Saccharomyces cerevisiae S288C: one gene and its partners. The protein of the gene in region 3 interacts with the protein of the main gene of each other region in a biochemical or structural test. Each region holds a gene or a part of one and is shown on either strand. Other genes may lie near its edges.

Evidence for each region.
Region 1: the proteins of CMK2 (region 3) and ERS1 form a complex in vitro, tested with the Saccharomyces cerevisiae proteins (one large-scale study listed by BioGRID).
Region 2: of the proteins of CMK2 (region 3) and VHR2, one has a biochemical effect on the other in vitro, tested with the Saccharomyces cerevisiae proteins (one large-scale study listed by BioGRID).

The regions. Positions count from the first base shown.
Region 1 is NC_001135.5:247,385-250,782, reverse strand, and holds ERS1 (cystinosin-like protein ERS1), read left to right. Parts: upstream 1-1,967; coding exon 1,968-2,750; downstream 2,751-3,398. Other genes in the region: deadenylation-dependent mRNA-decapping factor PAT1, read left to right, coding at 1-545; FUB1 (Fub1p), read left to right, coding at 738-1,490; EGO2 (Ego2p), read right to left, coding at 1,581-1,808; SOL2 (Sol2p), read right to left, coding at 2,873-3,398. UniProt on the Saccharomyces cerevisiae protein: Cystine/H(+) symporter that mediates export of cystine, the oxidized dimer of cysteine, from vacuoles/endodomes.
Region 2 is NC_001137.3:282,203-285,961, forward strand, and holds VHR2 (Vhr2p), read right to left. Parts: upstream 2,021-3,759; coding exon 503-2,020; downstream 1-502. Other genes in the region: THO1 (Tho1p), read left to right, coding at 1-164; ICL1 (isocitrate lyase 1), read right to left, coding at 3,039-3,759. UniProt on the Saccharomyces cerevisiae protein: Transcription factor that regulates ERG9, but seems to have a more global function in transcription.
Region 3 is NC_001147.6:294,287-298,045, forward strand, and holds CMK2 (calmodulin-dependent protein kinase CMK2), read right to left. Parts: upstream 1,835-3,759; coding exon 491-1,834; downstream 1-490. Other genes in the region: ESC8 (Esc8p), read left to right, coding at 1-387; IRC10 (Irc10p), read left to right, coding at 2,792-3,759.

The DNA of each region.
Region 1 (3,398 bases), on a different chromosome or scaffold from region 3:
TCAGAAACAACAACGTTTCGTTCTTGACCACCTCCAAAATTGGTCTAAATTTGATCACCATTTTGATTTCTCGTGCCGCATTAATCAAGCAAGATTCATCAAGATCTAATATTCTTTCCTCTCCTGAAATCTCCACATGGAATGAGATTTATGATAAATTATTCACTTCATTGGAAAGTAAGATTCAGCTGATTTTCCCTCCAAGGGAATATAACGACCACATCATGCGTTTACAAAATGACAAGTTTATGGATGAAGCATACATTTGGCAGTTCCTAGCTAGTTTAGCACTAAGTGGAAAGCTAAACCACCAGAGAATCATTATTGATGAAGTACGTGATGAAATCTTTGCCACTATTAACGAGGCGGAGACCTTACAAAAGAAAGAGAAAGAATTGAGTGTATTACCTCAGAGGTCTCAAGAATTAGACACAGAGTTAAAATCTATTATTTATAATAAAGAGAAACTATACCAAGATTTGAATTTGTTCCTAAACGTTATGGGGTTGGTGTATCGCGATGGTGAAATATCAGAACTAAAGTAAGATTTTTCCTGTAATTTTAATGTACTTACGCATGTATTTTTTTTTCTCCCTTATTTTTTATTTCCTACCCTTTGTAGATCATTTATTGTATATGTTTTTATATAAGTTTATATAAGTTTGTTATCCTTTTTTTTTCATAAAAAACCCGTATTAGCATCAATAATACCACCATAGTAACGCAAGAGTTAAACAATGATTGAGAATAAGGTTGAACTGGTAGCAGAACTAGTGTTGGAGTCCATCGGTAAAACTGAGGTGGTGTCACGCCATACAGAGGGAACCAAATCATGCCAAGTGAGTTTTCGCATTAAAGATTCTCCCAGTGAGAAGGGTTCAACATCGTTTCTCTCTGAGCTAGTGGTGATTCAGACTCTGGATGACAATGACAAGTATACTGTTGTTATTCGTCATGGTACGTCGATCACCATGGCATGTGTGGTGGGTTACAGCGATTTTAAATTGCCCACAGAATTGAAATGGCCACTAGAAAGAGAAAGCTTACCTGTGGAGCCAGACCTGAAACCTATAATGACACAACTTAAAAGACAAACTGCAGGTAGTGCGGACATGCCAAAATTTGACGATGAGTACCAGGCACAAGCAAGACAAAACCAGGGAACAGCACCGTTGAACCCATATCCCGGACTTACGGTAACTGAACCGAGCTTCGCTAACCCAGCAGGAGGGTATGCGGATGGTGATCTGTATCCTGTTGGCACAAGCCATCCGGATTGGTCTGGAGGGCTTCCCAATCCTCTGGGGAATCCAAGTAGCCAAGGCGGTATGATTTTCGATCCAAATAGAAGACCTGCCCCAAGACGGGAAGATATGCCGCCAGGATGGATGCCTGGATCCAAGTACGACGAACCATTTGGTCCTGGATCTGGCGGATTTGGAGGTTCAGGATCCGGCGGATTTGGAGGGTCAGGATCTGGCTTTATTTAAATGGGTGTTTATTTTAGTACTTTGTTTATTGTGATATTTAGTTTTTAGATAGTATACAGACATAGCTATGTCGAAAGGGAAGGAAAGAATTTATTGAGCGCTGGTATATACAGCTAAAGTGATATCATTGCGTTTGTACAGGTGTACGAGTAGCGAATCTCCTTGAACTTGAGCAAAACCTTCTGCATCCAGCGTAACTTTCGATAAATCACCGATATCTTCGATCCTTTGACTGCCCACGCCGGTAGACTCTATAACGTTACCGTGAGTATCGAAAGCAATGGTTCCCTTAATATCAGATTGTTTTTCCGCTTCCATCTTTGATTTGGTTTAGGTGATTTGGTTTGAGGTTGTGGTATTGCCCTTTAATAGCGGAATCCTTTATATTTTTTGATAATCTTGAAATTTTAAGGTGAGTTTCCATATGTAAACAAGGGAAGAAAAACTAAAAGCAAACAAAAGCAAACGCGAAGCAAAATGGTGTCGTTAGACGATATACTAGGTATCGTGTATGTTACGTCATGGTCGATATCGATGTATCCACCGATAATCACCAATTGGCGCCATAAGTCAGCGAGCGCGATATCGATGGATTTTGTCATGTTAAATACGGCAGGTTACTCTTACCTGGTCATATCCATATTTTTGCAATTGTACTGCTGGAAAATGACGGGTGATGAGTCTGACTTGGGCAGGCCCAAGTTGACGCAATTTGATTTCTGGTATTGCCTGCATGGGTGCTTGATGAATGTTGTCTTATTGACCCAGGTGGTAGCTGGAGCGAGAATCTGGCGATTTCCAGGTAAAGGTCACCGCAAGATGAATCCATGGTACCTAAGGATTTTACTCGCATCACTGGCCATTTTTTCACTGCTAACCGTACAATTTATGTACTCCAACTACTGGTACGATTGGCATAACTCAAGAACTCTGGCGTATTGCAACAATTTGTTTTTACTCAAAATATCGATGTCACTAATCAAGTACATCCCACAAGTGACGCATAACTCGACAAGAAAATCTATGGATTGTTTCCCCATTCAGGGTGTGTTTCTAGATGTCACTGGCGGTATCGCCTCGCTGCTCCAATTGATTTGGCAGTTGTCTAACGATCAAGGTTTCAGTCTGGATACGTTCGTGACAAATTTTGGAAAAGTGGGACTGTCAATGGTAACTTTAATATTCAACTTCATCTTTATCATGCAGTGGTTTGTATATCGATCTCGAGGCCATGATCTGGCGTCAGAGTACCCGCTGTAGCACACAAGGAGAAATCTGCATAATTACGCATATATATATATATATATATATACATAAATATACATAAATATATGTATGTATGTATGTATGTGTGTATGTATGTATGTACACACATGCATGGTTTAAATAGACAAACCTTGGTGGAATTTATACTTTTTTTTGGTGACGAGGACGTCCGTAAGAGCATCGTCGTCAACAAACCATGATACACGACCAGCAGCACCTTCGTTGACAATACTGCTAGGTAGGCCCTTTTCAGGCCTTTCCATAATGGTCTTGATGATGGGCGCCTTGGTTGCACCTTCGACAACGAAAGTAACCCTGTGAGAATGGCAGATTACAGGTATAGTCAGCGAAATTCTGGTCGAGGGCCCACTAGGAGCGTTCTCCACGGGCACCACCCATGCAAGTTTCTCACGTAGATTGTCCTGGAAGTTAGGGAAGAGTGATGCGATATGACCATCGGGGGCACAACCAAGCAGGAACAAGTCGAACATCGGAAGTTTGACGGAATCTCTACCGGCAAACCCGCGGATTAGCACCTTTTCATAGTTATCAGCGCATTCTTGCGGGTCGTCAATCAATGACTCGTCAATGTGGTACACCTTCGGAGTTCCATACTTCGCCGTGTCTATCAGGTCCAAAATC
Region 2 (3,759 bases), on a different chromosome or scaffold from region 3:
TTGACTTGAATAGCAAGTTGGCTGAAGAACTGGGCCTTGTCAGTAGGAAAAATGAACCTGAAAGTGGCAATAACGGTAAATTTAAAAATAGAAACAAAAATGCAAACAACCGCTCCAGAGTAAGTAAAAACAGGAGAGGCAACCGCTCTGGTTACAGAAGATAAAGGCTCAAGCCGTTTTGGTGGAGTTTTTCATTCTAGTTTCGGTTCTTTCCCACTTTTTAAACGACCGCAGTTGTTTGTATATGAAGGTGCAAAATTTGTTGCATACGTAAACATGTGTAGATTATTCTAAATAAATCTGTGTTATTAAATCCGAAGAGTCGGCGGTTCACTGTATTACACATACAGTGGCTGTCAACGTTGTAAAGTGCTAGTAGAGAATGAGCGGCGAGATTTACAGACTGAACATTCTTGTACAAGTTACAATGATGATAGAGGAAAAATAAGCTATGATAAATAGTTCATAGTAATGCAGGTGGGGATGATGCAAGCGGGCCTATTTATTTTGAAATAGTACTGAATGGTTTGGAAAAGGTGGAATTTTCAATCTGCAACGATATCGCGCTCAACATCTTTAACCTGTCATCATCGTACGTATTTGGGACTTCAATTGAAGGCAATGTAATGATAGTGCTATCTGCCGATGTGCTTGACCTCGTCACTCGAGGCTCTTCTTTACCGGGAGTGCTTGCATCTTTCGTTGAAGAATGTGCACTCAAGACCTCAGATGTGGAGTGTGGCCTCATTGGATTGGACTGTTTATTACTACAAACCAAGGGATATTGATGGAGTGTCATGTGATAGATAATTTCGTTGATTGGTGCCAAAGATGCATCAAACCCATAATCTTTGACAAGAGATCCCAGTATGAGATTCAGCACTCTCACCTGAATTTTTTCTTGTGATAGGTCAGCGAATAGTTGACGTGTAGCGGGCATAAATAGCCTTTGCGATAGAATAGTCAAAAATTCGATTGATGACAGCCGTTCAGTAAGATATTGCTTAGTAGAAGACGGTAAATGTGAAAAGCTGTTTTCTACCACAAGGGAAATGGAAGCCATTAGTGAATTTTTGCCCAGCGTTTCTAGATTAGCAAAAGAATCCAAATTTCTTTCATCCTTAGACATCTCCAAGCACGTCCTTGAGTTATGTATCTTTGACAGGATGAGTTTTCTCAAGTTGTTGGATATTACAACTTTGCTTTGGCACCCTTTTTTTTTCGTTAAATTTGGTCTAATGAACTTATCTCTTTGAATTTGTTCAGGTAGTGGAATAGCATTATTTACAATTTCAACAATTATTGATTTGGCAATAAAGTCGTATTCTTGTTCACTTTCTAGAGGCTGATCTTCTATATCAAACTTTTGTAATTTTTCATCGCCGCCGTGCGCATACGGTGCCGATGGATCACGAAGAAGAGATGCGTTCTTCTTAAGTAAAGAGCGAACTTGAGTTGGTACAGGTGGAAGAGTGCGGCCATTCGGATAAGGTAACAATTTTTGTGATGTTATAGTATTAAGAGAAGGAAGAGCGTGCTCAGCAGGTTCTTCCTTCACGCTGGCTTCTTCGTCAGAGCTTGATGCATTGGAAGCTGAACAAGACCCCATATTACTTGAGCTGGGGGGAGACAAAGGAATTTTTTGAACTTTACCACGGGCTATTTTCTTCTTAGAGTCTAATAATTTTTTCTTGGAACGTTTCCTGTTTCTTCTCACCGATTGAACAGCAGCGGTAACCAACTTTTCAAATTCTGCCGAAAACGTATCAGGGTACTCAAATTCACTCCTTAATATGGTGGCTATTTGTCTTATATTATCATCTTGTTCACTTGCTTTGTGCTGGCTCAAGCCAAATGAGTCAATGAGTTCTAGTCTTCTGCTAGAAAACTTCTTCCATTTCTTTTCATCATTAAAGTTTAACTGAGCTCTGATTTTATGTGTAGTACCATAGCCCGTATACTTTCCTGTTTTATGGCTACCTTCCAAATGAATTTTGGAGTTCTCAGTATCGTCAATCATCTTGCAATTTTTACTCTGACTGTTGCTGTTTTTTTTGCTGAGATATTTTCCGGTTAAGATGTTTGAATATGCTAAAGGTAATATACAGCTAGAGAAATATGAAAAGCAAGAATATAAAAATAGAACAGGAGCACTTAGTTCGGTTTTTTGCCATCATGTTTAATATATATATATATATATATATATATATATATATATGTGCGTGCGTGTGTGTGTGTGTGTGTGTGTACATGTATGCGGCAGCTAAAAGATGACGAGTACCTTCTAACGGCCATGTTATTTTCTACAGAAAGCATCTCACTTTGAGCGCCCAGAAAAAAGAAAAGGGAGAACAAAGTGATTAATTTTGCCTCTCGATTACATTATGAGGTGGCACTATTTGTCACATTTTATGTTTTTCATCCCGCACTTGGCTTTCATGAGAAAAGCATGTAGGACGCTTGAGTTTGGCATGCGAGAGAAGAGGCGTGTCAGAAAAAAAAACGCCTTTTGCTCTTGAGAAGAGCGGCAAAAATTGCCGAACAGGTGGAATTTCTCGACCAAAGGTGGGGTAAATATCGGTTACCCGTTTGCGAGTTCCTTTACAGTCTCAATGATTTCCAAGATGACTAAGGGAATATTTTCCATGGTGCCTTTTGCCTCGCGTACACTCACGGCACTAATGGGCGATACGATACTATGATTGTGTTCGGGATTAGTTCGATTCAATCATTCGCGCACGAGGCATGGACAGAAATGGCACTGATTTTAGTCACCGAGTCAACAAAAATGAGGCGACTCGATCAAAGATGTTTATTGACTCGTTTTTGCAACTAGAGAAAGGCATTCTTGCACGGAGAGAATGTTGACTTTAGTTGGAGTACCATTAGAGAGATGCCATTAGAGAACATTGTACTGCAGTAACGATGAGTTTAAGTTTTTAAGTACGCATGTTTATATATGAAAAAAATATACATTGAGATTACGAATATATATACTTGTCAGGAAATGCCGGCAGTTCTAATGGTTAATCCTTGTCCTATTTCTTTACGCCATTTTCTTTGAATTGATCTTCTGTGACACCGGTTCCCATAGCAGCTGTTGCGCTAACACCACCTTGAGCTAACTTCAATAACCCATCGATGTACTCCGCACCAGACCATTTTTGATGTTTCAACACATCAACACCATCGTCCATTTCCCTCTGCTGAACATTCTGGGCATAAGCTTTCATCCCATCCTTGGCAAAGTCACGAGAGAAGTTATGGACAGCTAAAGCGTTAGTGTGTAAACCGGCCAATGTGATAAATTGCCAGATGTAACCTAGATCACCCAGCCTTTGGATGAAGGTGTGTTGTTCATCAACGGACATGGCTTTTGGCCAGTTAAAGGATGGAGACAAGTTGTAAGCTAGCCATTGGTCAGGGAATTTCTCTTTAACACCTTCTGCAAACTCCTTGGCCTGTTGGAAGTCTGGGTAGTTAGATTCCATCCATACCAAATCAGCATATGGAGCAAATGCACGGGCCCTCATGATAGAACATTGCGTCCCACCTCTGTAACGGTACAACCCTTCCCTTACGCGTGGTAGCTCCCAGTCGAAGAAAATTTCGTGGCCAAGAATTTCTTTAGCGAGCTTCTTGGCTTCTCTGTGGGATGTTTCAGTCAATGGACCCACTTTAGAGGTGAATTTCTTAATCAATTCTTGCTTATTTGACAGGGCTGATCTTTCAATTTCATCAATGACGGCTTCATGGAAT
Region 3 (3,759 bases):
TTCATAAATGAGACTATTCAGCGCATAACTGCTGCCCCTACAGGCAGTACTGAAGGACGTCATTTGCGAACAAGCTCTCAGAGAAGAACCACGGTGCATTACTCGAGTGATGTAAATGGTGACGTTTCCGAGGAAAGTGAAAATGAAGTTGACATTGACGTTAGCGATGACTATGATTCAGAATATCTGAGTGAGGAGAATACATTGACAAGAAAAGGTGAAGATAGGACAGATAAATCTTTTGGGAAAAGAGAATTACACAATGGCGCTAAAGATTGTGATAGGAATTGTGATGATATAGAGATCTTCTCAGAACCCGTTAGGCAACTACAAGATAATTCTCGGGAAAAAAGAAGCTTGAGGCGTAATGCCAGAAAAGGTCTATAGTTTGAATGCCATGAAGTGTAGCTGCTGGTTACATAAAATCGTCACTAGCTTTACACATTAAATATTATATACGAATTTATGTACACGAATTCAAGTCCGTAATTTAGTCTTCTGACTTCGACTCCCGATCATCATGCAGTGTTTTCTTGCTATCGTCTTCCTCTTCACCAGCCAAAACTTTATGTTTATTCTTTGTTGCAGCTTTGACAATTTGAACAAAGGCATCCTTTGTTAATGCAGACTTCAATTTCATTTGCTCTTCTGTTAGTTCTCCCCCTTTCTTCTGAGATTGCAGACGTAAATCATCCAACGAATGTGTGACGCCGTCCAGAAGACTTTCATTGAGGGAATTCTCTTCTATATCGTTATCGCCATCGTCCCCTAATGAATACATATTTCTTAACCTCTTAATTCTATTATTAAGCTTCACAATTTCAATAGCGTCACGTAATTTCTTACGCAAAGAAAACCCTTTCTTAACGTCTGGTAAAATATTACTAGTTTCAACTCTCTTTGAAGTAATCCATGGATCGTCCAGCAATTCCGTAGCAGTTGGTCTGTCAGCTGGATTCAATCTCAATGCCTTCAAGATGAAACGCTTAACATCAATAGATATGTTATCCCAATATGGCATATGGAAGGTTACCGGGTATCTCGAAGCTGTACATTCCTCCATGAATCCTTCAACGCTTTCGGCAATAAAAGGAGAATAACCGCACAGTAAAGTATATGTGATCACACCAATGGACCATATATCACAAGGCTTACCATGTCCATCTTGTGTGAGGACTTCTGGTGCCACATAACCCAACGATCCGGCTGCTTTGTATATCAAATCCTCCTCCCCCTTCAATTGTTTAGCTATACCGAAGTCCGCAATTACCAGAGGCGAATTTTCTGACTTATCAACATACAAAACGTTCTCAGGTTTCAAATCCCTATGAACAACATTCTTGGAATGCATATACTCCACGGCACCAAGAATCTGAACTATGATTTCAACAGCATCCACTTCTGTGAACTTCCCTCTAGACAGAATTCTATCAAATAATTCACCTCCTGTTGCCAGCTGAGTGACAATATAGAACTTATCCTTCGATTCAAACCAATCCTTGAATGACACAATGTTCGGATGACTCAATTTTTGAAGAATGGACAGCTCTTCGTACAGCATCTGTAATTGCACATTGTTTCCCTGCAATGCCTTCTTCAATAAGATCTTTATAGCAACATCTTCATTTGTGGACAACTTTCTGGCTTGTCTCACAACACCGAAGGAACCGGCACCCAGTGTTCGACCGAAAATATAATTAGTCCTGTTGACGTAAGATTCAGGTTGACCGCTTAATTTATTGATAAATTTTGCTACAGGGTGGCCGTTTAGACGCTCTGGATCTTGGACATCTACATGAAATTCAGAATTTATGACCTCTGACTCCTTGGGCATTTTTGGTGTCTATATTTATATTGGCGATGTGATAGAAGAAAAGGTGACGAAAAGATTGATCAACGAATTGAAGTTCTGCTGATCTTGAACAATATCGTATTGTTTTATATTATTAGGATTACCAAGAGAAACAGCAATGGGTGGCTTCAAAGGGGGCAGGGTTCTAAGATAAGCCTCAATTATTCTCTTCGCGCTGCGTTAAAGCGGGCGCTTCTCCGAAAGTACAGCACGTTCTGAAAAGCCTCATCAACATAGAATCCATATGATGCTCAACGACTGGAAGTAAAAACATGAAAATTGAAAAAGAATATGCCTGCAGGAGCATTGGGAAGTACATAGTGGCTTATAGACTGCCAAAAAAAATCAGTACGGAAGCAAATGAACCTTATGTTATCCAGGGAGCGGTGAGTAACTGAGTAAAAACATTAGGCAAATTTCTTCCAAAAAATCATTGACATTGCCTGTCAATTGAGTAAATGAATAAATAAATAAATGCAAAAAAGCCAACCTAACTCTCCTGCAATGATACAATGAGTACTGTATCAACGACCATTAGTAAGTATCATGAAGTGTTTTGTATATTTGGAAAAAACCAGGCTGCATTGCCCCAGTGGTGTATTTATATCTACTGCAGTATGTTCTATTCTGTGAAGTTCCTAAAAGACACCGAGGTTTCTATGGCCTAACCATATTGTTGTTCTAACGCCTTTTCTATGTAAGGGTCCTTATTGTTCAAAGCCCCACCGCTCCTTCGCGCGTTGTGCCTATCATTGTGTCAGTAAATGTTAGGATACGGGAAGTGTATATATTAATTGAGTGGACACAGAAAACGCTCTAGAAAGGAATATCTCACAAAGAACTGTAATATAAGCCTACATTATTGATTTTTTTAGTTCTCTTGCCCTTATATTACCGTAAGTCTGCGGTATAATCACCTGGCCTAGTGCTTTTTCAATCATGTTCATTGAATACTCTAGATTACCAGGCTTCGAAAGCATCAATATATCATTTTCTAGAGGCATGCTAAGATTGGCTAAATTTACTAATTTCGCTACATACAAACAAAAATTAGAGTACTTCAGGCTGTTGGCAGGTTCAAACAAATACATCCAACGAATCAGCGTTGCTGACTTTGAGAGACATCCAGATGAAATCAATTATATTTACATTATACTAATATCCATTCTCCAAATGGAAGAGTGTATGCCAGTCCTAGTTCTATGTCCAACTGTTTATTGGGTACGATTCCACTGGCCTGGAAAATGTTCCGTGAACAGTTTGAACTTTACGAATGAAACGTTAAAAAGCGCTTTCCATGCTGTCTTCACTCCCTATTTTGCACTAATGAAAAAAGTTCTTGGAAGGATTAAAAACAACATGTTGCTATTTGCAGAACCTCATGCAAATTTAAATAATTTGTTTGTCAAGCATTTCCACGATCTCATATATAAGAGCGTAAAGGATGAAAAAACCGGCGAGGCAATTCTGTATTTGAGAACTAACGTTAATGTTCCAAATGTTTTTATTGACGATAAAAGAGCAGTTTTTCATGGTGACGGTATGAAAATTGGAAAATTTACCGGCAAATTTTTATGCTTTTCCTTCAAACGAACAATAAGATGGTCAAAATTAGATTCAGTGGATTCTTTTGCGGTTACGACAGTAAATTATAGAGTATCTGTAAATTGGGAAAAGACACCAAGAAAGACTTTCCTTTCTCTAGACAGTGACACCAAAAATTTACACTATATATCGAAAAAGATATTGAATAAAAAGGGAAAGAACGCCACTACATCAAAAACAACAAAAAGTTCATGCACAAGTGAGAACGTTTGCGATGATAAAACATTCTCCGTCGAATTCCCACTTACAACGTCAGCAAAAACTGAATATTTGTTGAGAAGTAATTTTTCTTTAGAAAAAAT